3 linked regions of the Danio rerio genome follow. The protein of the gene in region 2 binds, or shares a complex with, the protein of the main gene of each other region. Links are inferred from orthologs where the notes say so. Each region holds a gene or a part of one and is shown on either strand. Other genes may lie near its edges. The genes, in order: adma, calcrlb and ramp1.

What was found.
Region 1: the proteins of calcrlb (region 2) and adma are in contact, whole or in part, in a cryo-EM structure (PDB 6UUS), measured with the Homo sapiens proteins. The link is inferred for Danio rerio from reciprocal best matches to the Homo sapiens genes CALCRL and ADM. Residues at the interface, in NP_001258680.1 of Homo sapiens: Val36, Thr37, Asp70, Gly71, Trp72, Asp90, Tyr91, Phe92, Gln93, Asp94, Phe95, Asp96, Pro97, His114, Ser117, Thr120, Trp121, Thr122, Tyr124, Thr125, Asn128, Val135, Ala138, Leu139, Leu141, Phe142, Thr145, Thr191, Leu195, Ala199; in NP_001115.1 of Homo sapiens: Cys110, Arg111, Phe112, Gly113, Thr114, Cys115, Thr116, Val117, Gln118, Lys119, Leu120, Ala121, His122, Gln123, Ile124, Tyr125, Gln126, Phe127, Thr128, Asp129, Lys130, Asp131, Lys132, Asp133, Asn134, Ala136, Pro137, Lys140, Ser142, Pro143.
Region 3: the proteins of calcrlb (region 2) and ramp1 are in contact, whole or in part, in a cryo-EM structure (PDB 6E3Y), measured with the Homo sapiens proteins. The link is inferred for Danio rerio from reciprocal best matches to the Homo sapiens genes CALCRL and RAMP1. Residues at the interface, in NP_001258680.1 of Homo sapiens: Asn39, Met42, Thr43, Gln45, Tyr46, Glu47, Tyr49, Gln50, Lys51, Ile52, Met53, Gln54, Thr68, Trp69, Asp70, Gly71, Arg113, Arg119, Thr120, Phe228, Leu231, Ile235, Thr239, Val243, Ala244, Gln250, Trp254, Tyr255, Leu258, Phe262; in NP_005846.1 of Homo sapiens: Trp59, Ile63, Tyr66, Arg67, Ala70, Phe83, Trp84, Pro85, Asp90, Phe93, Leu94, His97, Gly98, Phe101, Arg102, Cys104, Pro105, Ile106, Ser107, Gly108, Arg109, Ala110, Val111, Arg112, Asp113, Pro114, Ile118, Leu119, Phe122, Ile123.

The regions. Positions count from the first base shown.
Region 1 is NC_133182.1:72,307,103-72,317,453, reverse strand, and holds adma (adrenomedullin a precursor), read left to right. Parts: upstream 1-3,881; 5' UTR 3,882-4,000; intron 4,001-4,397; 5' UTR 4,398-4,409; coding exon 4,410-4,501; intron 4,502-4,595; coding exon 4,596-4,709; intron 4,710-4,820; coding exon 4,821-5,130; 3' UTR 5,131-6,078; downstream 6,079-10,351. UniProt on the Homo sapiens protein: Adrenomedullin/ADM and proadrenomedullin N-20 terminal peptide/PAMP are peptide hormones that act as potent hypotensive and vasodilatator agents. Numerous actions have been reported most related to the physiologic control of fluid and electrolyte homeostasis.
Region 2 is NC_133181.1:12,636,679-12,647,082, forward strand, and holds the start of calcrlb (calcitonin gene-related peptide type 1 receptor), read left to right. Parts: upstream 1-4,434; 5' UTR 4,435-4,499; intron 4,500-7,244; exon of another isoform or gene 7,245-9,511; intron 9,512-9,843; exon of another isoform or gene 9,844-9,915; intron 9,916-10,024; exon of another isoform or gene 10,025-10,404. UniProt on the Homo sapiens protein: G protein-coupled receptor which specificity is determined by its interaction with receptor-activity-modifying proteins (RAMPs). Together with RAMP1, form the receptor complex for calcitonin-gene-related peptides CALCA/CGRP1 and CALCB/CGRP2.
Region 3 is NC_133184.1:30,532,970-30,543,260, reverse strand, and holds the start of ramp1 (receptor activity-modifying protein 1 precursor), read left to right. Parts: upstream 1-4,011; 5' UTR 4,012-4,329; coding exon 4,330-4,375; intron 4,376-10,291. UniProt on the Homo sapiens protein: Accessory protein that interacts with and modulates the function of G-protein coupled receptors including calcitonin gene-related peptide type 1 receptor (CALCRL) and calcitonin receptor (CALCR). Required for the transport of CALCRL to the plasma membrane.

The sequences.
Region 1 (10,351 bases), on a different chromosome or scaffold from region 2:
AATGATTAGTTTTTTTTTTTTTTTTTTTTTGATGTGGTTAAGGTCGTTCCCCAATAAAGATGAGCCAAAAAAAGTGCTGTTTGTCACAATTTTTTGTTTTTTTTTCTTGTCCAAATATCTAAAAATTCTTAAATCACGAAGCATTTTCTAGACAAGTATAAAATATTGCTTTGTTTTCAGAAATAATGAGTGAAAATGACATGTTTTTCCCTTAAAATAAGAAAAGTAATCTTCCAATGGGGAAAGTGAAATGTAACCCAAAGGTACCAAAGAATAGATGCAGGTTTTGTTCAATCAAAAAAGAAAATGAGAGCACAGTGCTCCCATAACAGCATGCAATACTGATACTGTGAAGAGGAAAGTTGTTCTTTTTGTTTTATGCGCAAACAAAAGTAATCTTGTAGTTTGATAATATACTATTTAAAGCACATGATCTGTTTTGAAGAATTTTTGGAGTATTTTTCTGGACTTCTGGACGAGTTGCGGTCTGTAGCAAGTCTATTGCTGTCTATGGAGGATGAGGGAGCTCTCACATTTCACTTGAATTTTTTTTATTTGAGTTTATTTGAGTTTATTTGAGGGTTAGTAATTAAACAATTTTCTAGACAAAAAATATATATATTTCTTTTACTTACCACATTGGGAGATTTTTTTGTCCTGTTTTAAGGGGAAAACACTTAATTTTGACTTATCTCTTAATTTGTTGTTGATTGTCTAAAAATATTTCTTGATTTAAGAATATTTTAGACTAGAAACAAGACTAAAACTGTAAATAAGAAAAGCAGTGTATGATAAACGTATATTTACAATGAATATTTACATTTATCATTTAAAAATAGCCATCAGAATAAACCATACCAATATAAATAAATAGTTTAAAAAGATAGTTCACCCAAAATGAACAAATACTCACCATTTATTCTCCCTCAAGTGGTTCAAACCCACCTGATCTCACAAGGAAATGTAAGTATTTTACGTTTTGTCAGTTTGGTGGCTAATTCGTATAAGTTCAAACAGTTCGGTCGTATGTAAATGCACAATTTTAAAAAGGAGGTGTGGCACCTAACCCCGCCCCTAAATCCAACACTGAAATGATTCAACGATGATTCCTTGGATTTACAATTTTTTTCTAAGTTAAGTGGTTGTGAAAATTTTATTTTTGCTGGATTTAAACAACATTATTGAACATTTAAGATTATTAAATTATATTTGTTTGTCTAAATTCAACATATATAAATTATTTGCAACAATTTTGCAGACATCTTTTTTTTCAGTGAACATTCATTGGGGACTAAGCAATTCATACTAAATTGTACAAATGAGATCGTGTAAATTCATACGAATTAGCCACTAAATAAAAAAGTTACGAATTGCAGTGAGATTGTGTTGTTCAAACTCATTCATTTATTCATTTTTCTTCCGGCTTAGTCCCTTTATTAATCTGGGGTCGCCACAGTGGAATGAACCGCCAACTTATTCAGCATATGTTTTACACACCGAATGCCCTTCCAGCCGCAACCCATCACTGGGAAACATGCACACACACACTCATTCACTACAGTCAATTTTAGCTTACCCAATTCAGCTGTACCTATCTTTGGTCTGTGGGGGAAACAGGAGCACCCAGAGGAAACCCACGTGATTGTTTAAACTCTTTATGAGTTTTCTTTCTTCTGTTGAACACAAAAAAAGATGTTTTGAAAAATGTTAGAAACCAGTAATAATTGACTTCCATAGTAGGAAAATCAAATATGAAGTCAATGCTTACAAGTGTCCAACATTTTTCAAAATATCTTCTTTTGTGTTTGTTACAAGTGATGAGTAAACGATGACAGAATTTTCAGTTATAGATGAACTATCCCTTAAATAAATAACTTAAATAAATAAATAAATAAATAATGCCGCATAAGACACCATGACATGTAACATTAGGTATAAATAACATATACAAAGGTACTACAAAAATACCAAGGTAATTGTTGTCAGTGAACTAAACTATATCAAAAGTTGTCACATTTCTGATAATCTCTCTCCTCATTGCAGTGAACCCCAAAATAAAAAAAACAACAACAGCAGTAAATTCCCGTTAAATATCTGAAAGCTCAGCCCCATCAGGGTGTTCAGTGACTCATTGTAATGCTAGCATTCCTGAACGTTTAACACACATAAAGCTACCTCCCAGCAGCCACTATGGGTTCCCCCATCTTACCTGATCAAATGTCAGCAAACCTTCTGATAACTATGACATATTGGTTTAGCAAATATTTACCATATATGGACTGAGAGTGTGTGGATGTTGAGCAATCTTTCCATATAAGGACAAATCAAGACTGCAGTAATTAACATGAACAGATGACATTCGTTTAATAAACGTTGGCTGTTAGATGGAGAACCGAATGCACATATTAACTTTATTTGCTTATTTTTCAAGTCATTTGATGTAGTATAAAGTGAAATTAGGTGAAGGTCAGTAGGCATTCTCGCTAAAGTGTAAATCTCTCTCTTTATCTGTGTTTACATATCCAGGAATGGACAGTTTTACCCTTTTGCATAGAAAATACTATCAGTATCAGCTTAATGAATGTATAGGCTTAATTATATTCAGTATTGTCATGATCTATATATTTCACTTTATTTGACAAAAATAAAATAGGTAGCATTAGATAACTGATTAATTATCATGAAGCATTTGTTGTGTCTTTGTTAACTTTAATAGCATCAATTTTTGACTTTAATAAATGTAATAGCAAATATAATTTAATATAAATGTAATTGCAATGAACAAGTCAATGTTTGGTAACTAAAATAAACAAAGACACATATAAATATGTATGCTGTAGCTCACTGCTAGGTAATATTACAGCATGAACTGATGTTAACTAATAGGTCTTTGTTGTAAAGTGTTCTCAAAAGCTCACGATACTTTGTGTTAAATCAGTTAAACTGCTTTGATAAATTATGTTGTTGTTATGTTATTGTGTTACGTGTAGCTGCATAAAGATATTAATATTCGTATTTTGCATTAATATAATATTAATTTAACCTCAAACAAGTTAAACATTGTTTTTTTTTTTTCTTATTTTTGTAAGAGCACACATCATTTCTGTACCCCCAGCCAACAACACAGGTCTAAAAGTCATCAGAAAAAAAGGCTAAATTCACTCTAATGTTGTCATTTTCTAAAGTATTCACAAGTACTGGCATTGGTTTATTTTTTCCCCCAGAATTAAATCCCTTAAGCCATTTAATGAATGGGGTAACATGAACTAACAATCAACAAAACTGCTTCTTTATTAACTAAACTGAACAAATATGAATAAACACAGTGGCAAATTGGTAGTTAATATTAATTAAAGCGTTAACTGATGTCAACCAGTGGGTCTTTGTCGAAAAGTGTTACCAAAAGCTCACTCAGTACTAGTTGAAACAGTTAAACTGCTTTAATAATTCATTTTTATTTTCATATTGTATTATATTTATATGCATTGGCCATGATTTTTTATTTAACAATAATATTTTACATCAAACAAGTTAATACTTGTTGTTTCTTATCTTTAAGGAGCATACAGATCATTGCCATACCCCCAGACAACACTCAAATACAACAATCAACAATGCTGTTTAAAAAAAAAAAAAAACTAATTTTTAGTAACGTTGGCATACCCCAAAGAAATCCCCGTGATTACTGGCAGCGGTTTATTGCTTCCTTAAGAAAAAATTTGATTAAGCAATTTCATCAATAAGCCCAGTTTCATTTTCTTATTCTCTTTGGTACTTTGAGATTTTCAGCTTGAGCAACGGAGAGGAAGTCCTGAGATGAGAGAGTGTGTCAGCCTCGGCCCCTCCCATCTCTACTAGTATAAATGCACTTACCCCAGCTCTGGAGAGTCAGACTATTAGAAGAGTATCACTGCTGCACCAGCATTCCCAGCAAGTCAAGCGCCTTTGGATTACTTTCCACACAGACTTCTGAGGCCAACCCAAGAGTACGTCAACACAGGTATGCATTTCTAAATATGCCTTTTTGTTACTTGCTTGGGATCAATGCACAGGTTATCTGTAGTTACGTAAGAAATCTGAGACCCAGTTTTGCACATGTAAGCCAGGCAAGTGTAACTGTAGTCTTATTGAAGAGAATTTGTTGCCTGATGTAGTTGGAAGAATATACATCATTTAGTGCTTATTGGGGACCTGAAGCATAGCTGCAAGTTTACTTATTCATAGAAAGTGCAACCTCAGCTTGACATAGTAAATAAATGCATGATGAGAGTGTAAATAGCTTGGATTTTGGACTCTTGTGCAAGCCTGAGCAAAGCATGGTTGGCACAGAGTAGGGGAGTTGCATTCAGACTATTGGAGGTTGATGTCTAACAGACGATTCATTTATTTCCTTTAAGATTTCAATCAAGATGCAACTGATCCTGCAGTCAATCTTCTGCTGCTGCCTCCTGGCCGCCGTTGCACCCGGCGTGGACAGTGCGAAGCATGACCTGAAAAGAAGGTAAGCACTCAAGTCACGACTTGATTCAGTACCGATGTTCACTGTTGCTTGAAAAGTTTTCTAACGGACATGCTTTCCTCTCTTTGATACTCAGCGTCTGGCTTCAGAGATCAAAAAGGGATTTGAGTCTTCCTGCACTGAGGGCTTTAGAAAACAGGCAGTTTGTCAGACCAGACGACGTTAAAGACAACTTGAGGCCACATTCCAGGTAAGAAAAAATGCAACTCAAGTCACCGTTTTCTGTTAGAACATTAAACTTAAATGAATTGCTCAGAAATACCAGCCAGGCATTAACGTCTTCTCTTGTCTGCCTTTCCAGCACTGACATCAGCATTAGAGCAAAACGCTCCAAGAACTCCATCAACCAGTCCAGGAGATCAGGCTGCTCGCTTGGCACCTGCACGGTGCATGTGCTGGCACACCGTCTCCATGACCTCAACAACAAACTCAAGATTGGGAATGCACCCGTTGACAAGATCAATCCCTACGGGTATGGCCGCCGGCGAAGGTCCGTTCCAGAGAAAGTTTTGAGACTGCGGAAGGATGGCAGTGGGATGAGGATGGTGTGGAGCAGCTCAAACTCTCAATCGTGGCTGCACAAGCTGGAAGCGCTGCTCAGACGGACGTGAGCGTACGGGGTGGGAGCACTTGGGGACGCGGCGACAGAGGCTCGCCTGGCGACAGAGACTCCTGCCAAGAGTTCTCCAGCGCATTCTTGTCCAAGCACAGCGACTGGAAGAGCAATCCAGTCTCCTGAAGGCTGCCCTCGATGGGGAACTCCACAAAGAGAAGCAAAGAAACAATAGCAGCAGGGAGGCAAATGGAGCAACTGAACAAGTGTGCCTTGGATATAAGCAAGATATCATTGCACTGAAGTGGACTGGCCTCAGGGAAAAGCAGAACTTCCTCTCTTGGGACTGCCGTCCTGGTAATCAAGCCGGTGGGATTAGTTGTGCTAGACCAGTGTCACTGTGTCCTGAAAGACTTTGGACATAACAGGGAAAGAATCAAGATTCCAGAATGGAATACACACTCAGAGAACGACTTTGAAGATGCCAATGAGGGTGTTTCTAATTTGGAGTCGCACGTTTGGACACTGTAAGCAGGATGATCGTCTGATTGAATTGGTTATTAGAACTGGTTATATGTCCACAAGGATTGCACTCGAACTTACTTGAACATTGTTGTCGTTGTTTTTTGTAAAGAGATATGTGCAATCTATTACTTCTATCTATTAATATTATTGCGAGTATATGTATATTTGAAAAGAAAATTGTGAAGAATATCACTATTTAATTGTTTTATATAATTTTGTACTACTTCCAGAGAGCTATTTTTGTACAGGGATCAAAAATATTAGGGGCATTGAAGGTAGCATTATATATATATTATTCATGTCAAAAAGCTGTGGTATAGGATAACTTTTTTATGCATATATATATATGTGTGTGTGTGTGTGTGTGTGTGTGTGTGTGTGTGTGTGTGTGTGTGTGTAAAATGGGATCTATTTTATTTGTGTGTTTCTGTGAAATGTGAATGTTGTCATTCAATAAACTTTTGCATACAATTAAAGCTGACGTCTTCGGGAGCTTGTCTGTTTGTTCCAAAGGAAGTGAAGGTAGTAAAAGGAAAGTCTTTCCATTGTTTCTCGTCCGGATTGCCAAGTGGACAGACAGATGATCAACACCTGGTCTGGGTTATTACATGTTAAAGGGCCTGGAGGGCAAACAGGGTGCCAAGTGCTTTCTGTTTCAATACCTTCTCTAGATGTAGTAGGTAGTAGATGGAGAAATCTGTTTCTGAAGGAAGAGTGGGCTAGGGTTGTGTTTAATGGCTGCTCTACATGGGGTGGGTTTCTGGATGTAGAGCAGAGGTGAGAGGCGCTCCATACCACATTCCACTTCAACACATCATTTTCATTCCAATCTTAATGAGAAGGAACTTCTGAAATGCACTCTTTTACTGTTGCACCCCTGTAACCCTAATTTAAAAGCACCATATGATGCTAATCACAAATGAGCACGTACACAGAAGAACACTGATAATCTCAATTTAACAAGTGTCCACTGAATACAGGTTGAAACCAAAGACGGTTCTGCTACTGAATTTTATTTATAAACTGCCTTCATCAAAAATTTAGATGTTTTTAAATCTATAAAAGCTTAGGTATTTAGTGTTACTTGATTAGTATGAAATGCTAACATGTTTGTGATGTCAGAAAGCTAAAAATAGCCTATTTTTTTTCCGTGTTCTACTGGACATACTGCCACTGTTTACCTCCCCAGGTGAACAATTATAGCTTGCAAGTTTTTTTTTTTCTTAGCTGCCAATTGAAAATAGGCACTCCCTTAAAATGTTGTGGTTGCTGAAATATTTGAAGCCCCAAGTGAAACATTTGGACTTTTTCTTCAAAATGAGTGTTTGAATAAACTTTTAAGGTGTTTTCAAGAGGGTCAGATGCTGTAATAAATCATATTTCCGACCTTGTGGCTGAAAACGTTCGCAGGCACGCGGTCTTCATCTTGTCTTCTTATTTTAATGCTCTAGCTCCACCTTGTGGTGATTATTACTTAAGTTGGCGGGCTTTTGCTAAGATTTTGCAAATGTGTTCTGGGACTGACGCCATCTCCCTCATTCATCGACACCTCATAAATCTTCACCACTTCTGTCAGCGAATTTGGACCAGCAATGAACACAACTCTTTTAAACTTTGGAGTCTGGATATTTAGATTTTTTTTTAACCAATTTAATGACCGAATATATCATCAACGTTGTGTGAAATATGTTTTGGTGGACAATACTGGAACGTGTGATAAGTATCACTTTTTATTGTGACATTTGAATAGTGTCAACATTTTACTGACAAATGTCCAGAATTTGTCCCATTCATGAGCTAATTTGTCTTATTTTGACTGCTATGCCAAGCTTTAAGACCAATCTGAATCCGCTTCGGTGTGACTTTAGCTAATGAGTTTTGTCCAATGCTAACAAATACATTTTTCATGAGTCCAACATCCAGCTGTGCGAGAAAATACAAGATCTGATGTAAGAGAAGTCATCTTTTGCTACTGTATTGTTTTTGAATAGAGAAAACAAATCTTGAACCTTACTCTTAAAAAACAAAAACCGAAAAGCACCAAAAGCGGCCCATAGTAAAATGGAGTTGAATAATACTATTTTGGCTATTGTTGTTACATGAATTTTCAAATTTACTTTTTTTCTATTTTTTTATTTTAATTTTTTTTACAAGAGAGGCTAGAAAAGTGTAAAGCTCTACATTATTATTATTATTTTATTTTTGTAATTGAAATGGCCAAATTCTGACTGGGAAAAGTTGAATGCGCTGGACAGTTAGTTATTTGCCTAATACCCATCAGATTATGCTACCAACACTATATTTGAATAGTTCTGATGTGTAGATTAGGTAGGTTAGTGCGATATTACAGCTTCATATCACACATTAAAATTTACACTTGTAGCAAAATCTGAGGGGTAGCATATTCATGCGTGTAGCCAGGGGGGTTCGAGTGGTTCGAACGGCCTAAAGGTCCAAAATTTGTCCGTTTATATATTTTATGTAATTTAATATTATATAATATATTTAATATATAATTAAAATATTTATAGTCAATATATATTCCCGTCATGTCTGTGTTTTTGAGGCTGGGAGGTTCGGAGGACCCACCCCTAACTGACAAAGGTCCAGAATTTGTCCCAAATATGAGCTCATTTGTCCTATTTTGACTGCTGTGCCTTCATAAATAATAAAAATAATTCATCGAAAAAGGCTTTAAGACCAAACGGAATCTTCTGTCAGAGAAGTCTTCTTTCACTACTGTATTGTTTTTGAACAGAGAAAACATTTTACAGGTAACTTTATTCTAAATCTTGGACCTTATTTCTGAAATAAAAACGAGCAATAAAAAGGTGTGAAGCACCAGAAGCACACAAAAATATATTGGCTATTGTTAATATCCAGGAATTTTTAAATGTACTATTTTTTTAATTCTGAAGAATTCATTATTATTGTTTTATTATTATTATTATTATTATTATTATTATTATTATTATGAAATGGCCAAGTTGTGACTAAGGAAAGTTGAATGTGCTGGCCTTTTTGAATATGGTTTGTTTTTGTCTATTACAGTTTTTCTCAGTCGCTTTGGTGCATTTCTCACAACACTATTTACATTTGCACAACAGGTCATGCATTTCTCAAAACAATTAGTCATTTGTGCACATCCTAGTAGCAGTTTCTCATTCCTTTCAAGAAATTGCAAATGCTTTTGGACATGCATCAATTGCTTTCATACAACTCTCTGCTGTTTATAACATTATCATCTGCTTATGTCATGTCAGTCAAAATGAACTAAAGTTGTAAATGCTGAATAGTCATTCAATATAAAACTAATAGTCCTCCTTACATTACTTGAGTCATTACATACAAAAATGTTGAACTTGATGTCAAAATCGGTCAAGCAAACTTCATAAAAAACAATTTAATCTTTATTTTCTTGAAAATGTCTTTAAAATTGAACAATTTGATGAATGATTTACAGACCTGTGTATGTTATAGGCTCAGTTACAATATGTTCTGCAATATTGTTTACAGTTGTGCACAGCTCTACCCAAAGGGAGTTTATGTTTGTTGTAAATAAGGGTGTGTTTATTCTTTTGCACAATGCTGTGAATAAATTAGGATTGTAAAGAGCATGTGCAGTAAAAATGTGAAACATACATATTCAGTGTCTTGTACTCAGATGCCTCACTAAATATAGTGATGTCTAACTTTACTGTAGTTTTTAAATGGCTGTGCAAATAGTACAAAGTGCTGTCTAGAGCATTTTCAGCAAGTGTCACCAAAATCTGACTTTTTTTGCATTGAAAAAATGTACAGAATAAAGTGTCATAATGAAAACATGACTAAGCCATTTGACTATCTTGTTCATAAACAATGGTGTCAGGACCTTTCATTTTGATGATACTGACACTTTGATTGATATGAATACTTGCTTTTGAGGAATGAACTATCCATTTTGAGCATGTGACACGGTTTTGCAGGTTATCAGCTAGGTTTTGCAGTTTGCACTCATTGTTTTGCAGTTTGCATTAACTGTTGTGCAAATGTAAATATTTTGAGAAATTCACCAAAGCGTCTGAGAAAAACTGTAAATGACAGTAGGCTACAAATTTTTTTTTACTTTAAAACTTTAACAGATTGCTATTTTTTTCCTAATGATATATGATGTAACAAATATGTCTTGTTTTATTTTTTTATTGCAATTCTTTAGGAAATATTTTTAGTACATCAAAAAGTGTGGTTATGATGACATCTGACTAGCTAATCCAGCAAAAAAAAAAAAAAAAATACTAAAATGCAGTATTTAAATCTCATAGTTAAATAGAAACTAAGGTGTATATCTGCAAAAAGGTCCACTTTTGAGAAAAAAAGAACCACCCCTTTCACCAGGCTGGCTACGGGCCTATGCGTCATCAAAATGTGCTACCTACTTTTTGAATGGGAGGTAGGACAATCTTACAAGGTAGGACAAATCTTTTATACAAGGGAGGATGGACGTCTTTCAAATTTGGTTGATTTATATTATTATTTCCAAGTCACAAAGCTAAAATCCTCTCAGACTACTTTCTTAAATTCAATTAAATTCAATTCATGTTTATTTATATAGTGCTTTTCACAATGTAGATTGTGTCAAAGCAGCTTAACATATTTCTAGTAAAGTTCAGATTTCAGAGTTGAAGTTCAGTTTAGTTTAGTTCAGTGTGGTTTCATTTTTACTGCTGAAAGTTCAAACACTGTGGAGCAAATCCACCGAAGCGCAGCTCCACAAG
Region 2 (10,404 bases):
GTCTTGCTACAGTTAGAAAATATTTTAATAACAAGCAGGAAATGTTTATCCCTCACAAGGCAGGCGTTGCTGATTTGCAACAGTTAAAAGCATAGACTTTGCCTGTTTCTAAAAATTTCATTTGAGCCTGAAAGAGTTAAGGGTCTATACATATTTTTTTTAAATGTGACAAGTACAACTTGTTGGACAGTATGCTATAAATGTTTTCTTTTTGTTGCTGTTGTTGTTCATTTTATTTAATTTGTACTTATACAGCACTGTTCATCCTATCATTTTAAAGCATGTAAGTCTTGTTTGTAATTTGCTACATGCAACATAAAGATATTAAATATTAGAACAATTTCCAAAGGTGCGCAGAAACTTAAATAAAAGTGATTTGACACTTTAAGTAATATATCAGTATTAATACAAATAATTGATTATCTGAAATCAAAACGCAAAACCATTGTTGAAGAAAATGTGCACTTACAAAATAAATATGATGGATACATTTTATTTATTAACAGCCTTTAATAAGGCTTGCCCAGTATCCTTTAAATGCCAAACAACAACCACACTGTGAACCTATGACTGATTGTTTAGCTCCCTCTAGTGTTTTGATGTTTTCTAACATTTGTTAACGTTGCAGTTTTACTTTCAAATTACATATATATTAGTTTAAAGATAAATATAGATAGAAATATACTATGGTGTATATACTATACCAAAATAATAATAAAAAAAGCTTCTAATGAAATGTTTGACATATGGAACAACAGTGCTTGCTTGAATTTGTCAGCAGAAGGTTGATTTGCATATCCTGTTCTATTGGGAAAACAAAAAGCAGGAGTGGGAGTGCCCAGCTGTCAGTCAGGATGATTGACAGTAGCTCAATGAGCATTCTATAATGCGCAGATTGAATAATTTCTCATCTCCCCAGAGAGGAAGAGAAAGGATCAAGAGTAACAACTGATTCTGCAGCCCCCAGTGAACCAACCTGCTCAAATAAAGCACCCGAAATAGACATAGTCGTTTATTTTTTGTTCACTGTAAATGACTAATTGTATTAGAAAAACAACAAAAGTATTCCTGTCAAAGTTGTTCAGAAAGTCGCTGTACATGTTTGCATACACTGTAAAAAACAATAAGTCATTACTTGTTTCTAGTGTTTTCCATTTATTTATGGTTGTGAATTGCAGTATGGGATGTTGATCTCCGCTCTGTTGACTTTTAGGGCCCTATCATACACCCTGCGCAATAAGGCACAAGAGGTGTTTCCTGAAGGTTCCATAATGGTACCTCACATGTACATTTCAGGTACATTTTGGTGCTAATATGCACCTTTGAGGCTCCATTGTGGGCTATTTGGGTACAAATATGTATCTTTTGAAAAGGTACTGCCCCAGTGACAGCTCCTGTACCTTTATTTCTGAGAGTGTACCAAATTGACATTGCCCGTCCTTTTACGAATGCCAAATTGCAATGTTGATGCTTAAAATATATATTGTGTAACCCCACTTTAATCTATTTATGCTCATAAAAGTCACTTTTTTTACTTTTCAAGGTTAAAAATTGTTGGAAGAAAGATCAAGGTGTCATAATGCAATTCCAAAGCAGAAATATACATTTATAAATAATAAAAAAGATGAGATGAAATATGTAAAACTGCTAATTTACAGATGTTTTAGTGTATATACTGTAGTGTGTTTAGAAATATCCCTAATTTTTTTTTAAAGCCTAGTTCTCAGTAATTTAAGGCTTCTTGTTTTGTGTGATGATTCATTTAATGGAGGTTCATCATACGTATTAATGTTAACAGCTTTAAATGTGTAGTCACACGTCTCCTTTTAAAGCCAGGTTTTAATATTTAATGAACGTTATCCCTGAAATGAATGAGAAGTGCTTTACATTGTCATACTTGTCATTTCCACACAGTCCCCACAAATGAATTATAATCTCTCAATGTTCCAAATGCCCTCATTAAAACCCTGGCTTCCATTTTTTCTCATCAAGACATAAAGAGCAGATCGTAAGGTTAACAATAAAGCGAAAGTACACAAGGACAGAGAAAGTCTAGCCTTGTTGAGATTAACAACTGGATCAGATTAAAAGCTTGGGACAACCAAATTTAATTTGTTAATGAAGCAGTTCTTCTGTTTCATTTTATGCTTTATATACAGTCATGAATTCATGTCAGGTGATTGGTTGGGCCATTCTACAGCTTGATTTTCTTTTTCTGAAAGCATTTGAGAGTTTCGGGGGGTGGGGGTGAGGGGGGTGGCATCTTTACTGTATTGAACAGTAGAGTGGAGGTAGGAATGTGTGGGGAGCAGAGAGGGAAAGGATTGACAAAGGATTTGAGCTGGAATTTTAAATCATGTCACAGGGAAAACAATACATGTCGATCCATTTACCCACTAGTGACTATTGTCGTTGACATTCATTTTCATTTGTATTCCCCCAGTTGCCTACTAAAAATGCATGGTTAAACATTTGTTTACGTGGCAAAAACATGGTTGATTTGTTTTGATTTTTGATTTGTTATTGTGGCAAAATGTTAATCTTGGCAAGGTTTTACAGAGCTAGAAGTCTCAAAAGCAGTAAATATAATATTTTGATAATTATTTTGGATATACATAGATATAAAATCATCTTGTCTTAGTCTGAAATGACAGTCTGAAATGGAGTGGATAACTGTATAGGGTGTATTGTGTGTATATGAATAGGGTGTGTGTATTTGAATATAGTGAGTCATGTGTGCATATGTATAGTGTGTATGTGTATTTATCTGTAAGAAGTGTATAATGGGTGAATATGTACGGAGTGTCTCATGGGTGCATATGTATGGAGTGTGTATATGTATAGGGTGTATTGTGTCAATATGTTACAGGGTGTATCATGTGTGCATATGCAAATAGTGAGTCATGTGTGCATATGTACAGAGTGTATCCTGTGCATATGTATTGAGTGTGTGTGTGTGTGTGTGTGTGTGTATGTGTGTGTGTGCGTGTGTGTGTGTGTATAGAGAGAGAGAAAGAGAGAGGGAGTGTACATCGTTTTACAATGGTTTTACAATCGTTTTTACAATGGTTTTAAAGGATGCTTGCAAGCTTCTTGTACAGGGGTGCCCAAACTCGGTCCTGGAGGGCCGGTGTCCTGCAAAGTTTAGTTTCAACCCCATAGAGACACACCTGGGCTAGCTAATCAAGTTCTTATTTGGCTTTCTAGAAACATCGTTGCAGGTGTGTTGAGGCAAGTTGGAGCTAAAATCTGCAGGACACCAGCCCTCCATAACCGAATTTGGACATCCCTTTTCTAGTAGCTTGTGACATGATTCCAAGAAGCTCACTAAGAAGTGATATTGCCAAGACTACAAATTAATTAATAATAATAACCGTCAAACCCAAGCCTGAAACATTTTTTAAAACTCAAGTGTTTCAGGTTTGATATTTGTTACTTTGACTTAACTGTTAGTTTTATATGACTATATTTTGTTCTGACAACCGTAGTATTCTATTAGTACTGTTTTTTGTATAAAGATGAACTATATTATTTCATACTACAATTTTCACATTTAAAAGGCAAAAAAGCAGGGGTGCGTAACTGTTGACTAGTGTTAATTTGAGTTTTTTTTTTTTTATTTATTATAGGTGTTTAACTAATCAGAAAGATTCAGTGACCTCGATTTGAGAATAGCTCTTGGTCACTTTAAGTTGTTGTTTTTAAATCGATTCTTATATAAATTATAAAATAAGCTTGGGCTTGCCTTAAAGGTTATAGTACATAAACAGTACATCAGCAAGCCCTTTAACATTACTAGGTACTAAAATGTTCAATATAGATCCTTTAGGTACAAACGTGTCGATTTTGAAAGTGTACCACCCCAGTAGGTTTTTGAGAATGTATAGAGCAGCCAGTACAAACCTGTAAGCTTTATTGTGCTACAACATTACTTGTAACCCAGGTTACCCATACTAGATCCATAGAGCCAATCACTGATATCAGTGTCCCTACTAAAACACGAGGGGGCGCTATAATAATTGTGTATTTCGACAAATCCATGCGTATGTTGCATAATTGGTTCAATGGTTAGCTCAGGTGTAGCTATACTTGCAATGTCGTTGTTTTTAGTCATTTAAACTGGATTTTATGAATAGTAGGATATGTCCTATAGGCAGTATTTTGTTTACTAATAGGTAAACAAAAACTGTGAAATAGCTGACACAATCTTGAGTTAAATTTTTGTTAATGTATCACTTTATTGGATTATTGTATTTAATATTAGACGCGTTTTACGTTGTCTGTAGGCTAACTTTAGCATACGCAGTCTAGTCCTCGTCGTTATACCGGTAAACTGGCCAGAACTCACCCCTGTTCGGTGTAACTGAGACTCGGATGAGCAGTGATGTCACAGGAAACCCGCTCCACACAATCCTCTGCTGCTTCAGGGACCGCAGTTCATCAGCGAGCACATCTCCTGCACTGCTCTACACACCGCGGAGAACACAGCAGCTAACGTGGTAAGACACACTTTATTCTCACACCAAGAATAAGCCTACTTTTATGACGCTTTTTTATTGACAGTGGATTTTATATTATGAGCAATTGGGCAAACTTTACTTCATCTTGATGTGGCATATTGTTCAGAACTAGAATATAAAGCTTCAACATTAGGCTACGTTATTATTAATTTGCGTATTTAAATTGTTGTTATAGCCTCTTGGATCACTCTAAACGAGTTAGTTTAGTCATTTTGCTTGTTATTAAAGAACTTTTAAAGTTTAAAAGTTTCAGATTGCTTGTCAGCTTTGAATTAATCACCTTTATTTTGTCGAGAATGACAGTTTGGTTAAATTAAACAAGTTTGTTAAAGACCTAATGCTTTCATTAGTGTCAATATTGTCATTTGTAACAACACATTTACACTAAGAAACAACAAAAACAATTAAACACTAGCCTATAATGCAAAACTGTAACAGTCATTATCCAATACATTATTCGATACCTCCAATACAGTGAAAGACTGATTGGATAACTGGGCAATTTAATAAAATATTTAATATAATTTCAATACAAAATGTCCTGAAAACCTTCAAAGGAAACTGTAATAAAACAAAAGTTTATAAAATATTATTAGCAAGTAAATATTGTGAAAATATGAATTGATCTTATTTATTTATTGTTTGCTTGTAATGTTTATTTTTTACATTTATATGCTTTTATAATATACCAATTAGTTGTTGAGACAGTTTGGTTTTATTAATTTAGTTCGTTTAAAACCACTGCTATAGTGCTTTTATTAGTGTTAAAGATATAATTTGTAGCAACAATCAATTATTATTACAGTAATTTTACCTCCAATACAGTCAAAGACTGATTGGATAAATGGGCGATTAATACATTTATTAATATAATGTTAATCCAAAATGTACTGAAAACCTTTAAAGGAAATTGTAATAAAACAAAAGTTTATAAACTATTATTAGCAAGCAAATATTGTGTATATATTCATTGTTTGCTTGTAATGTTTATTTTTTACAGTTATATGCTTTTATAATATACCAATTAATTGTCGAGACAGTTTGGTTTTATCAAACTAGTTTGTTTAAACCTTATATAGTGTTTTTATTAGTGTTAAGGATGTAATTTGTTACAATAATCAAATATTATCATAGTCATTTTACCTACAATACAGTAAAAGACTGACTGGGCGGTTAATAAAATAATGAATATAATGTTAATTCAAAATACTAAAAACCTTTAAAGGAAATTTTAATTAAATAAAAGCTTATAAAAAATTATCAGCAAGCAAATATTGTGAAAATATTTATTTATTGTTTGTATTATTTATTTTTACAATTAAATACTCTTAAATGCTTTTATAATATATCAATTAATGTATATAAAATATAATTCAAATAAAAATGTATATATAATTACCTATATGTATGAATAAGTGCTTAAATAAGTGCACAAGTTTTAAAGACCTAGTCTTAGAAAAGTAATCAAAGTTAATAAATGTTTCACATACAGTTAGATAGATTGGATGGTTTTAACTTATTATATTTTATGATATAACACCATTGAACCGTTTAACCATTACATAAAAATGAAAATTTACTGCTTACATAATTTACATTGTATTAACCCTTTGATGCACTACATGGGTCTAAAGTGACCCGTCTAAGCTTATTTTATCTATATATATTTTATAGCTTGTACATTAAATGGTTAAAGTACTCTACTGTTTGTTAATAAAGTGTTAATTTGGAATTCACACACCAACATAAAATATATACAATTTTTGGCAGCAAACCTTTTTAAAAGGCATCATCATTTATTATGTTTCTTATTTTATTACATTTGTTTTGGTGCCACGGTGGCTCAGTGGTTAGCACTGTTGCCTCACAACAAGAAGGTCGCTGGGCCAGTTGGCATTTCTGTGTGGAGTTTGCATGTTCTCACCGCTCCAGTTTCCCGCACATTCCAAACACATGCGCTATAGGTGAATTTAATAAACTAAATTGTCCGTAGTGTATGAGTGTGTGTTTGAATGAGAGTGTATGGGTGTTTCCCAAATACTGGGTTGAGGCTGAAAAGGCATCTGCTACGTAAAACATATGCTGGAATAGTTGGTGGTTCATTCTGCTGTGGCGACCTTTGAAATAGAGACTAAACCGAAGGAAAATGTATGAATGAATATATATTTTGACTGTTTGATATCTGTGCGTTATCTCTATGAGTTTGATCATTTCCGCCGGATAGAGCTTTGTGCTGTGTTACTTTAAAATTAATCCTTCGTAGTAAGGAGTGGAAAAATTGGTGCTATATACTTGGGTGTATCCTAAACGGACATGAGTTAAACTATCTGTCAGTGGGCTTTCTGATTTAGGGCCTGGAGGGTGGCTTTTCGCAACCAGGCCCAGTTTAAAGAGAGTGACAGAGAGAGAATGGCGGAGAGGGAGTAGGTGGGAGACTCTGGGTATTAAACAAGGGTCTCTGGGAATGTCACATCTGTAAACCACTCCTTCAGCTTCACAGGAAGGGCAAAATGTTATCAAGCTTTAGGCCCTCTGTTTTTCCACCAAGTTCTGGGGTCATCCGATTATCCAAAATGTCTGGGAAAACACTTCATTTTTTACATTCCTATTAGAATGACTTTTATTAAGTGATTTATGTCTGCCGCCTAAACCTGAATGGCACCAGATTTATAGCTGTTTTTCTTCTCTTAAAAGTTTCAATGAGTGGTTTATGGGTTTTTTTTTGTAAAGTATTTCCTTAATCATCTCCCTCTGTTATTGTGAAAACGATAAAGATAATATTATATTATACAATTAAGAAGTGCTGATCTGCAAGAGGCACTTAAAGGTCCCATAAAATTAGAATAAAACCTTTTAGATGTTAGTTTTACTCAGTTTTATGGATATCTGAAAGCTGGTGTGCATTTAAAAAATCTAAAACTGATATAAACATCCAAAGCTCGCAGTTTGTCGCTTCCAATTGAATCTATTTTTTTCATGGCACCTCATACTTCAGTTTCTCATTAAATCTTGACCAATCAATATCTGACAGGCTCCGCCCCTTCTCGTTTCTTGCTTCTCGAGGCGCTTCTCATTTGCTTCTCATTTGCTCTGCTTGATCTCAACCACTCTCACTGGAAGAGCTGTGATTAAAATTAAATGCTATTGACTTTAAAATAAAAAAAAAATAAAAGGGAGAAGCTACACTTTGTACCAGCCTCTCTTCATTTTTCATTTAAGATTATATCAAACATGGAATAAAAAGTGCACAATTCAAAGCACTTCACGGGAAGAGATCATTGCTGATATTTCATAGTTCCAAAGAATCATCATCTTTTTCAAAGAACTTAACTTTTGACTTCTGCGTTTCTTATTGAGCTTTGCTTCTCATAATATTCAGCATACAAAAAAGACAATGATAAAAATAATGTCTTGAGTGGGTCCTGTCTTCATCTACATTGATACTGATAGGTTTGTGTCATTTGAAATGGATCTCTATCCACACAAGTACTTCATCCACATTGTAACATTGGAAAATATGAAAATTGTCTGACTGTGTATGCATCTGATGTGATAAAGGCTGAGGTGATCATGAGACCGAACATAAATTAATTTCTTAAGCATTGTCATTTTATTCATAAAATATCAAACTAGTTAGTCCAGCTCAAACTCAAGTGTCATTTAATGTACGTTTAAAACAGAGGTACTGTATTCAACTAAAGTTTCAAGAGGTCTGGTCTCTGTATTTCATTATCAGCAGAGGTCTGGACCGTACTTTCTTTTGTTGGAATGGTTATACATTTCCATCTGGGCAGCAGCAGGGTTTTGTAAAATGTAAAAAAAAAACAAAAAAACTTAATATTCCAAATGGTTGAGAAGAGTCTGCAGACCGAGTCCACATTTATGCTCAGACATGCATTTAATGAGCTTTTAAATGTACACCTAAACCCCACCCCTCACAGTTATGTCACTAGCTCTACTGAGTAGGCGTGTAACGAATCATGGGTGATCAGTGATTCATACGGATCACGACCCACTTGTAGGTTATTCCAACGTTTGTAACAGATGCAGAGAGATCGCCTCTCACGTCATTCAAGTCACATGTTTAAAAGCATTTTGGCTTCCCTGTAAAATACAATGATGACAAAAAAAAGTTATGGTGGGCCTAAATGCTTTCAAGAGCAGTGAGTGATTTTGTCCTTTTATTGTTTAATTAATCATTAAAAGTTGGCAGCAGGTATATTGTGCGCTGTCACTTTAAGAGCAGTACGGTTCTGATTTATGGTTTCACATTCACATCTCTTTTGATTCTCAACTCGTTTGTTTATTACATAAATGAGGGTTAATATGAATAATCACTTAACACCGCGTTTTGATACAAATGTACATGTATTTGCATGTAACACTTAAAATTACAGAGAGAATAACTTTCAAACATAGTTACTGTATATAACAGCCAAAGATATTTGATTGAAATAAAAGTTATGTCTAGGCCTGTCATCATAAAGCCTTTTTGTTGTGCGATATATTATTACAGAAATTGCTGCGATAAGCAATATTATTGTCATTTTGAGATCATTCTGATTATACAAAACTATTATAATGCAAATACTCTTAAATGCTTTTAAGAGACGAAAAACTTTTCATCCTTAAGGTTATTTAGAATCAGTAATTTGATGTTAAAACAGTAAATGTCCCATTATTAAATGTCCTATTAAGTAAATGTCAAACAACAAACATTGACACCAGTGAGGTAGAATGTAAATGTCCTTGTAAAATGGCTGTACTGTTATTTGCAAATATGTGAATATATATTGAAATTATTGAAGTCATATGTAAGTAATGAAGTTTGTTTTGGGGTGATTTTAATTTAGGGAATACTTGTATAAATCCAGTTCAGCATTTCTAGATTTTCCTAGTTAGCCGTGTCACACTCATCCTCCTAGAAAATGCAGAAGTCCTCATAGTTTGTCATCCTTCTGACAGACAGCAATTCTATGTGCAATCCCACACTGTAAAATAAACAGTAAGTTTATTATTATGAAATTATGCAATTGTAAATTTCAAATGTTTAAGGTTCATTAAAACAAATTAAGGAAATACATTAAGGAAATAAACAATTTCTTTGTATCTCTGTGAACAGTAGTTCTTCAAAATGTTTGAGTAGACGTTGATGACTGACACTATAACACACGCACACAAGTATTTTGACGTATAACGGACAGTGTTTTCAAAATGTAGTGCAATCAACAATGTAGTGTTTGAGCTATATTTCTGTTTTTTTTTTTATAAAAATGCAGTTTTCTGAAAGCTACAAAAATCTGAAACTGTTTAGGACACTTACAATGTACTGCTGGACGAGCTCTTCCTCTTCTTCCAAAAAGACAGCAACAGACGACGACATCTCTCGTCTAGTCTATGATTAGTGTGGATCGGATGCAACAAAAATGTAAAATTAGTAATATTGCCTAATAATAATATCAATGATAATAATAATAATACACAAATAACATTATAAAAAATACCTGCACTCATTCTCTTTATAAAAATCTGCTTGAGTAAAGCACCCCTCTTTTTCAAAATACTGTGAACATTTTCTTAATTAATCTGAAAAATGAAGCAAACAAATATTAGTATTTATAAACAGTATTATATACAAACACAGTTAATTAATGTAGGTTAGTTATTAATTGCATTGCATCATCAATGCTGTAAAAAGAACCCTATGAAAAACACAAGCTGTGCATAAACCTTATTAAATAGCTATATGCAAACACAGCTTAGGCTTACCACTTAAGATCATTGTTGTTCGTCCACCACACTCAAATGTTGCCTTAAGATTGCTGTTAAATATTACAATGCAGATAATTTGTTCAATTTCAGTATATAATTCAGAATGAACAGA
Region 3 (10,291 bases), on a different chromosome or scaffold from region 2:
GCAGCATAATGTCATTTGTCATCTGTTTAACTGACATATTTCACTGAGTATTCAGTGTAGTGTGTAATAGCAGCTTTAAAAGGGTCGATTAACCCAGAAATGAAAAGGTTCATTATTTTTTTCAGCTTCAAGTTGTTCCAAAGCTGAGTTTCCTGTTTAATATTAAATATATTCTGAATAATGTGGGTAACCAAATCCCTCTTAATGCTGGTTTTCCCATTTTTGTCCCTACTATAAAAAGCAAAATGGGGATCAAAAACTGACCTGAAAGAAACTCTTATACGTTTGGAACCATTTGAAGTAAATGATGACAGAATTTTTTTAAAGATGCTGAATTTGATTTTTTAGAAGATACAGGAGCAGCTGAGACGTCTCTGACTTGTGCAGTATTAAACTGGACAACGTAACCAGCTAAAATGTTTTAGGTGTGATACTAGAGGCCTTTCATTAACCCTTTCTTTTCCTCCTGTGTAAACTCCATAAGCAATTGCTGCTATTTTTCAGTACACTGAAAACTGCATTCTCGCTATAAATCACTGGATCTGAAATCACTGGAATCAAATATTTAAAGGTCAGTTATCAACTTTTTATACAAGCAGTTTTTGTGCGAGAAATTGTAAGTTAAACTTCTGAAAAGGTGTTTATATGATATTCATGCTCTGATTATTGGAAATGCTCAATCACAGAAAGCTGTTATAGCAGGAATATATGTATATGCTAATCACGTTTGTTCTCTGCGTCTCAGTGTAGGCTTATTTACATATTATATTAATGATCTGTAGATGTCAGCAGTGATCTGTTTATTTCGATACGCTGAAAAGTGTTATACACTGTAAGCCTTGTCATTTTGTATGATGTGAGACGTTCTTTGAGTAAAGGGAATTTTAACATGGTTATTGACTAGTGCTTTTGTGTGTACAGTTTGGAGTATTCTGAAAAATTTCCACTCACACTATTTCTTCAAGGAAATAATTGTTTCATTTAATCTTAAACTTTGCTGATTGATAGGCATAGTAATGTAAAGGTATACTGTAAAACCCAACAGTTAACTTAATCAAACGAAATGAGTGTAGTTAACTCAAATTTACTGAAAGTTAATTCTACTCATTTTAAAAGAGTTTTGAACTGTTGAAGGTAATGAGTTAATTAAATACCTCATTACGTCTACTTAAATAGAGTAAGTTTATGCAAGGTACTTCTATATAGATTAGTTTTTTAAAACTTAAATGGTTTGTTTCAATCAGTTTCCTTAAACAGTTTGAGTTGGCATAATTTGGGTTTTACAGTACTCAGTTGGTTTAAGTTCTCTTCATTTATTGGGTTTTACTGTGCTCAAATTGCTTTGTTTACTCAAATGGACTAAGTTCAAAGTACTCATTAAGATTAGTTTTTAAACTTAAATGGTTTGTTGCTATCAGTTTTCTCAAATGGTTTGTTACCTTAACTTTTTGGGTTTTACTGTGTATTGAGTTATATTGAACTTTTATACCAATCATTTTTAAACCGTATTAGTGTAATAAGTGTGGTCAGGCAGAAAAAAAAATTGATGCACATTTATACAACAAGCAACAGCAAATTGTGCACAAAATAATCATGAAAATTGAGTGTCAAGGATTGTAGAAGCCAACTATTAATGCTCCCTGAACATAAACGTGATGCTGTCATTTCCTTTAACCCAGAGGTGCCACTTACTCAGGTAAAACTAAAAATTATTCAAGTCTTTATGAGTGAATGTATTTATCATTGGGTAATTGTGGTTGTTCGTTTCCCCTCACAGGGAGGATGAAATGTCCAGTGTGGCAGCAGGTGGAGCCAGAGAGCTTCACCAGTCGGATAGGATCACGCTCGGGTCCTCAGGCTTGTATACAAAATTGGAAGCTCACATAGTGGCAAACACACAGGGTAATATTTCCCACCATAAAGTAGGAAATTTATTTGACAACAGTAGTATTTGTAAAAAAACTACAGTATCAAAAAAAAAATCTAGTAAATTACTATTTAAAGCAGGGGGGCCAAAACCAAATATAATTGGGCTATAAAGTTACTATTGCTAATTTATTTCATAATTTTTAAAAAATATAATTTTTTTCTTAAAATCCTAGTAGCTAAAGCAGTATAATTTGATTAAAATGGAAAATACAGTCACATTTTTTATAGCACAGTGGAGTTCAATGCTGAGTACACTAGTCAAGCAATATCAGCTTTTGTTCCCATTTGCTCACTGATTTCTCTGCATTGTGCCCAATCCATCGGGTGACAGTATGTGCATTTAAAAAAAATCTAATTCATTCAACTGAAACATGTAATTTCCATTTGTTTTTTGGGGGGCTTAGCAACAAAACAAACAAACAAAAAGTTAGATTAAGTAGAAATGACAGTCTATAAACCATGCTCATCATTCTCATTCTCTTGTCAGATGGGATGGTGGGCCAAATTAAAGGTTACCATGGCCCTATTTTGAACATTTTTGGATTAAAGGATTTGTATAACATTTCTAAAGGACATATTTTGTTGTTGTTATTGCTAGTCACTGAATTAAAAACTTGATTAAGACCCTTAAGCAGGTCGCACACCATAAGCGCCGCTCGGCGCCGCGACACGGCGCGTACATGACAGTTTAAAGTATCACACACCAGACGCGCACATTCGAATGATATTTAACATGAAACTAATCAGATGGCGCTCTGTGGCGCGGCTGAAAAATGAACTGCGTCCTGAGCCGTCGCCGGGCGCCGCCGACAGCCGCCGACTTGCGGCGCCGGTGTGTGTATCCTGATAGAAACCTATGTTTAGAATTCTAAAATACATGGCGCTGCGTGGCGCTTCTGGTGTGCGACCTGCTTTAGGACGCAGTTCATTTTTCAGCCGCGCCACAGAGCGCCATCTGATTAGTTTCATGTTAAATATCATTCGAATGTGCGCGTCTGGTGTGCGATACTTTAATCTGTCATGTACGCGCCGTGTCGCGGCGCCGAGTGGCGCTTCTGGTGTGCGACCTGCTTTAGATGAATAGTTTTCACCCATTGATGGATAAATGGTTTAATTACAATTCATTATGAATATTGGAACAATTACACACATTAAAGTATTCCAACTGCTTTTAGATTACTTTTGGCCTAACTCATTTATTTAATAGATTTGAATGGAATTATTATTGGGTACTGTATTTTCTTGTCGTGCTTGAATTGAGTATTAGGTTGAACTATTTCAATAATTTTATCATGTAGTTAAAAAGGCAACTGATTATGAACTTTTTTTGATGCACAATCGAACTAAAATATGTATTTTTCTAGGTCTGATTATACGCTTAAGATTACATATAAGCATATAACCCAATCCTACGTAACCTAATTTTTGACTTCTGTGTAAAATATCAACAACTCATAATAAACCTACCAAATATGTATTAGAACCACAGGGTTAACTTAGAAACGTTTTGTCACAAATCTTAAATTTGTAATTTTTTATAAATTTATTGTGCAATGCTAAAGCCCCACTAAGAAAATTCCATTCGTTTTTCTGCTACTTAATTCTAGCAGCACTGCTGCTGATGCTTTAATGATCAGACCAACTAATCATTTTGGCAAATGCACCTGTAATTCAGATTATGACCACAGATGGCGTATCATCTCACGTTTACTGGGGCTGGTTTCCTAAATTACGAATTTACATTTGGACATAAAAATTTGCACCAGTAAGCTACACAGAAAGTTTCGAGTCGAATTTCTTTTGTGTTATTTATTTATTAATAGCATTGGGTGTATTCACTATTTATAAATTGCAAATGAAGAAGACGGGAGTAAAATTGGAAGAAACAAAATGAACACTAAAACCTTGCATGATATTGGGGCTGCAAATGTTTCCTTTTCATTAACCGCAGAGTGAATCGTAGTGGTTTCCTCACTTCTGCAATCAATTAGTTTGATGTTTATTATTAGCTAGCATAAGTTGATGAGCAGTGAGGGAGGCGCTTCTCGTATAATGTTCCCACAAGCGCAGCTCGCATCTTTCAGTAGACGCGCCGCCACCGCGCGCCCGACCAACCACGAGAACTACTGAGCGCGCGCTCCAGCTGACCCGAGACCCGCTTCAGACAGGTGCTCGTTTGGGCTTATTTTGACGCTAAAGCAGTACTTTATGAAACACAGGGCATGCTGGCTGAGTGGAATAGAGGATTTCTTCCTTCCTTCAACGTCTTCAGTGCAGAACCAGCGCTGAATGAAACTGTATGAACAATTAGCTGACAGACGCTCAGATGTGTCTAGCTGTGAAGGAATAGCGACGATTAACCGACCAACAAAAAAAACTTGTGTTTGACATTGACGCGTCATGGCATCAGTGTCGTGGAGACACGCGCTTTTCGTCTTGGTAGCTGGTAAGTTAAACTGGTTTGTCCTGTTTGTTGCCTGCATTCCTGCCTATTATGCATGTTATTAAATTCCATGAAGGCTAGAAAATACAAAAAAAAAGTAGAAAAAGCTGAAACAAATGAGAAAGTATTATGTAGTTTGAAGGACTAGCGCTAGTCACTGTGGATATTCCTCAGCAAATGTTAACACAATTAAGCAAATATTGACTGTTTTTTATTTATTTTATTTATTTATTGTTCAACCGTAAATAACATTGAACTTTGTTGTAGTTGTCATTTTAACACTTAACTAAACGCTTAACTAAACGATTAAACTATAATAAAGCATGAGTTTGTATTTATAGAACCAAATATTTTGGAAAACGTTTTATTTAGTGCCTTATGAAAATTAACCATTGGTTTACTACGAATAAAACTAAAAATTAAAAATGTTAATTAAACTGTAGCTGCAGTGAAACTAATTATATATAATGTGGTTATGCCAAAAAACAGGTTAGCTACACACTAGTACTATAATAAAAATATGGCTTGGTTTCTTAAGCAGTTGGTTTTCAAATATATTTGTAGCATTATTAATTAACAGTATTTGCTGTAAGAATATTGTTTATTATGCTGATATTATATGTTGCACCATTGTTGTTCATTTATTTTTTACTGTTTAAATGTCTAAAAAACTAATTTTTATATAAATATATTTTGATTTTGGGTACTACGCACAGTTGTAAGCACTGAAAGTGTTGACAGAAAACATATAAAACTATGAATTAATTTGATCGCCACTGTAATGCTTTTTTGGTAAAAAAAAAACACAAATGCTCTGACCCCGGTATTTTTCACAATACACAGGGGTTGAAAATTTTGCATAAAGACATAAATTCATAAGTGACAAGCCCTCCCACGTATGGGTCAATTATCTAATTTTCTAATTAATAATGCATGGCAACCTCCTCCTGTTGGAAAGAATTCATTTCACACTTACCTTAACAAGCTGCCTGAGCTGTGCCGAGCATGACTAACAAGCAGCTCTCTGCTTTCCTTGATTTTCTGTCACCATTCAATTGGGACCGCTATATTACTCGCCAAAGCTTCATGCCATACTTTTGTGGAAGAATGTCTATTAAGAATTTCAATGCAACTGCAAGCGATTTGTTGACATGAACTGACCTGACAGTGAGAAATATGACATTTTCTTGTTTGTGACAGTAACAAACATCCGTTTGGGTGACAAAAAAGGAAACAGGGTGCTAATGGATTCACACAAGAGAAAGGCATTATGCTCACGCAACTGCAGAAAAAAAATGCAATCAGCCTGTAAAAATCTGTGACTCTTGGATAAACACTTCTGCTCCAGTTAAGCTCACTGCAGTGAGTGCGCTATAAAATATGTAGATTTAGCAGGGGAATCTTCTGACTTTGAAACTCTGAGGAAGTGAACTCAGGATGAGTGTCTGTTAACCATGGCCAGGTCTGAAATGAAGCGTGTTTTATGCTTTGCGAAAAGATGTGAACAAAAACTTTGATATGCATTTCAAAATAGGTCACAATGCCATATGTTGTATTCCAACTGCACTGCATTGTTCAGTGTTGCTTCAAATGACTCTAAACAAAAGGTTAAAAGGTGCTGTAGTGTAAACTCTGTTTTCTATGGTCAGGTTTGTCTTACAAATGTGTTGTGCCAAAGACAACTCAATTTCTTTATCGAAACATAAAGCTAGTTAATCTACCTGCATTAATGTAGTAGCTATCTGACTATCCAGACATTTACCTGACCTGTTCTTGTTTTATTGGATTTTATTTTCACTTTTTTCTGTTCTTTTTGATTTTCACTTGGCCTTCCCTTTTATACTTTGGCTTTCTTTTATATTACCTTTCCATTTCCCGTGCTTTCCTTTTTTATATATGTTTAGGATATTTGAAGTTTTGATGCTTCCTTTTTTCCTTGTTTATTTTCTTTTCTTTTCTGTTTTGAAATCTGAAACCAGCAGAAAAAAAATTGAAGGAAAATGACAGAAAGCGGTATAAACAAAGAAAAAATGGAAGCATATGTAACTTTAAAAATCTAAAATATAAAAAAAGAAAAGAGGAAAGAACAGGAAAAGGAAAGGTAATATAAAAGAAAACCAAATTGTAAAATGGATAAATATATTTTTCTTTTTTTTTCTGCTGGTTTCCCTTTTATTATTTGGCTTACTTTTATATTACCTTTCCTTTTTCCGTTCTTTTTTCTTTGTTTCTCACTTTTTGTCCTTTTCCTCAAATTTATTTTCTGCTGGTTTCAGGTTTTGTTTTTACTTTTTCTCTTTTCTATTCTTTTGATTTTCTTTCTCTTTGGTTTTTTACATTTCCTTTGTTCCTTTTCTAGTTTTATATATTTTTCCCTTTTCTTTCCTTTTTTTTAGCTTGTTTATCTTCCTTCCTATTTCTTTTATTTTATTTTTCTTGTTTCAGGTTTTGTTTTTCTCTTTTCACTTTCCTTTACAGGTTATATTATGCTTTCCTGTTTACATTGGCTTCCTTTTACAGTATATGTTCTTCTTTCCTTGCTTTACCCTTCATTCATTAATTCATTCATTTTTTTCGGCTTAGTCCCTGCAACCTTTCACTGGAAAACATCCATACACACATTCACACACATGCACTTACCCCAATTATCCCAATTTGCCTATACCGCATGTCTTTGTATTTGTGGGGAAAACCGGAGCACCCGGAGGAAAACAACGCAAACACGGGAGAACATGCAAACTCCACACATAAATGCCCACTGACCCAGCCGAGGCTTGAACCAGCGGCCTTCTTGCTGTGAGGCGACAGCGCTACCCACTGCGCCACTGTTCTGCCCTCCTTTCCCTTTAATGTTTCATATTTTTTCCCATTTACTTTTTTTTCTTTATTTAATTAGTTTATTTCCCTTTCTATTCCCTTCCTTATCATTTTTCTCTTTCCATTGATGGTTCCTTTGCTTTCCTCCTTTTTTTCCCTTTAAATAGATGTCTCCCACTCTTTATAAATGGCTGCGTCAATCTTCTCCCACAGATGCACCATGGGAGTCTGAGAAGTCCTAGGATATTGATGGCATCATGACTATTCACTGCTGGCAGAGAGAAAAAAGGGGCTTCATGCGGTTGTTGCGATGCGAGCCGAGAGAAAAATGCCAAGCACACTTTATAAACCCAACAAAACATTCACTGTGTTTAAACACAGAATACTTTATCTTTTGAGAGTCACTGCCTTGGCAATCAGACATGTCCAAGTCTGATAAAAACAATAAATACTGTAAAGGAGACATTAACACTATGAAGGGGGAGCACAAAGATGCATCCTATCTAGTTCTCTAAATGCAGAGAAGCCCGGTGCATTTCTCTGATTGAGGTGAATAACCTGATGGCAGTGGGCGTGGAGATCTCGACAGCCGGAACAAGAGCAGATGAATATATGGCTGCTCTATTTCTTCGCGCTTGTCTGGACTGCTTTGTATTTCATTCCCATTGCACTGCCTTAAGCAGTTCTACCCTTGTGATGATTCAGTTCAGTAGGTCTTGAAACTAAGTGCATTAGTGAGCATTGTGTGCAAAGAATTTAATGCTGATTGATAATTGTTGTGGAATTCGTCTTGCAAACGGAGCGTTTGCAATTCTATTTAGAGGGTTGCTGGACTAAACCGAGCATGCTTGATGGTGCACAATGACTGTTGGAGCTGAACAGTTCAAATGCATCCAGATTTCTGATTAGAACACACAGTCTAGACATAATCTGAAGACATCTCAGTAACGTTAGCTTTGAGTCACTTGTAAAAGTGGACTGAATCGTTCTCAATGATTTTTTTATCTTTATTGTCAATATAGCAGAAGATTTAGCATGCAGTGAGACATAATATTTTCCATTAAAGCTGAAAGCGTTGTTTTTCATAAATTCATAAATACCTTTTATTCATAATATGTTTAGTGAATCATTGCTTCACTTGCCTAAACATGCATGTTCTGTTTGGCCAGGAGATGTGTGAATACGAAAACATGTAAGCAATGCTTCCATGTAAAAGAATGATTCACACACTAGTCACTTAGAAGCAGTGTTACCTAGGGTTATGAAACCCTGCTCCAAAACCAGGGTAACACTGCTTTTGTGCTGTTGACCCTGCATTACAGTGGCAAACATGCACAGTGTAAAACAATGTGGTGCATGTGACTGCAGGAGTGTAGAAGAGACTGCTTCATACTTATAGTAGCTGGAACAATCCATTGACTTTAATGCACAGATAGTGACATGATCATCTGCTTGTGTATGACCCACATTGTACAATTTAAAAGTAGGGCAAATGGGTTTATGTAGATTTGTTTAATTGCATTAATTAAAATCATTATAGTATTGCATTCTTTCATTCATTAAATTTCTTATTTTAATCAAATTCCTGTTAATTTCAAAATAATTGTTTGTTTTATTTAAATCAAATAATCAAATATAAATAAACAATTAAAATGCTTTTCTTTAAACATTTACACAGACACCATAACACACCCTCGTTGGTCCCAGACCCTAGTATGAAAAAATTGTTATCACTTTATTTTTTATGGACTTTTTAAAAATATTTGTTTATTATTATTTGACTATTGTGTATACTTACATTGCAACTACATACCAGCTAATTTTCATTAAAGTATTCGTAGGCTGCTTGCATAATATCTGCTGATACTGCAATACCAACAGACATTCAACTGACTACAAGAAACGTTTTGAGTACTGTACATTTCAACTTGCACTGACCCTTGCTCTACACTAATTCTTATTAGAGTATTTGTAGACTCTAAGGTTGGGGATCTTACAGTCTACTAATATTAAGAATTAGGTGGTATGTACAGTACACTGAAAAAAAAATGTTTGCAAAACTGTTGCAAACAATTTAGATGTGTTAAATTTAAACAAACAGCTCCATCCAGACATGTGCGTTCCGCTGATGAGTTTCTATTAAAAGTCCCAAAGGCCCACCTCAAAAGCAGGGGCAAACGTGTATTCAGTATAGCCGGTCCTTGCTTTTTGAATGTACTGCTGCTAGAACGATCTCATTTTTATTCCTGTACTATGTGGTTAACTGTGGTAGCATCTTTTAACTAGGTGGAATTATATAAATCCATTACTTTCTTGTTTCAGGCATTGAAACCAAACTGTTTCTGTGTAATCTATTTTACATCTTATATGCTCTTTTACATCACGTGCCTATTGCTGTTTTGTTTATTATGTCCTTACTGCTTGTTTGTATCTTCTCTGTAAAGCACTTTGTGTGACCTTTTGGTCTTTGGAGGCGTGCTATATAAATAAATCAAACTGGAACAAATCAAATTTAGTAATGTTTAACTTTGTTTAAATTCAGCCCAAATAAATGCTTTACTACCATTAAACTTTAAAAAAAATATTTTGTAAATCCAAATAATTATCTTAATTTACAGTGTATTTGAACTGTAACTTGTGCGAAAATGTAAAATGTGTTAAAGTGACCATCACAGAAATGTGATACGAAACATTTTATAAGATACACATTTATTATAGATTACTGGTGACTTTTTCTTGGAAAAACTTTTAAAGCAGGAGGCTTCATTAAACAATTTGTTGTCAATCTTGGAAGAGCAGCAGATTATTATTATTATTTTTCCACAAAATAGCGTGGACATTGAGCTCTTAAGCTCTGCCAATCAAATAAATGAAAACAGGCAGTTTGTGCATCAGCCCTGCCCTCGTGGGAGATTTGTCTTGCTACATAATAAAAGTGTCACTACTTCAGTGCTACACCTGTTTTTTAATGCATTAAATATAGTAAATATTTAATGCGTAATGGTGTGATGTCCGCTCTGTGCAGCACTGCATTAGCTAATTATTCATTATGCAGATCGGGTCGCACTATAAAAGTGTGTTGCATTGCTGTTGTATGAATTA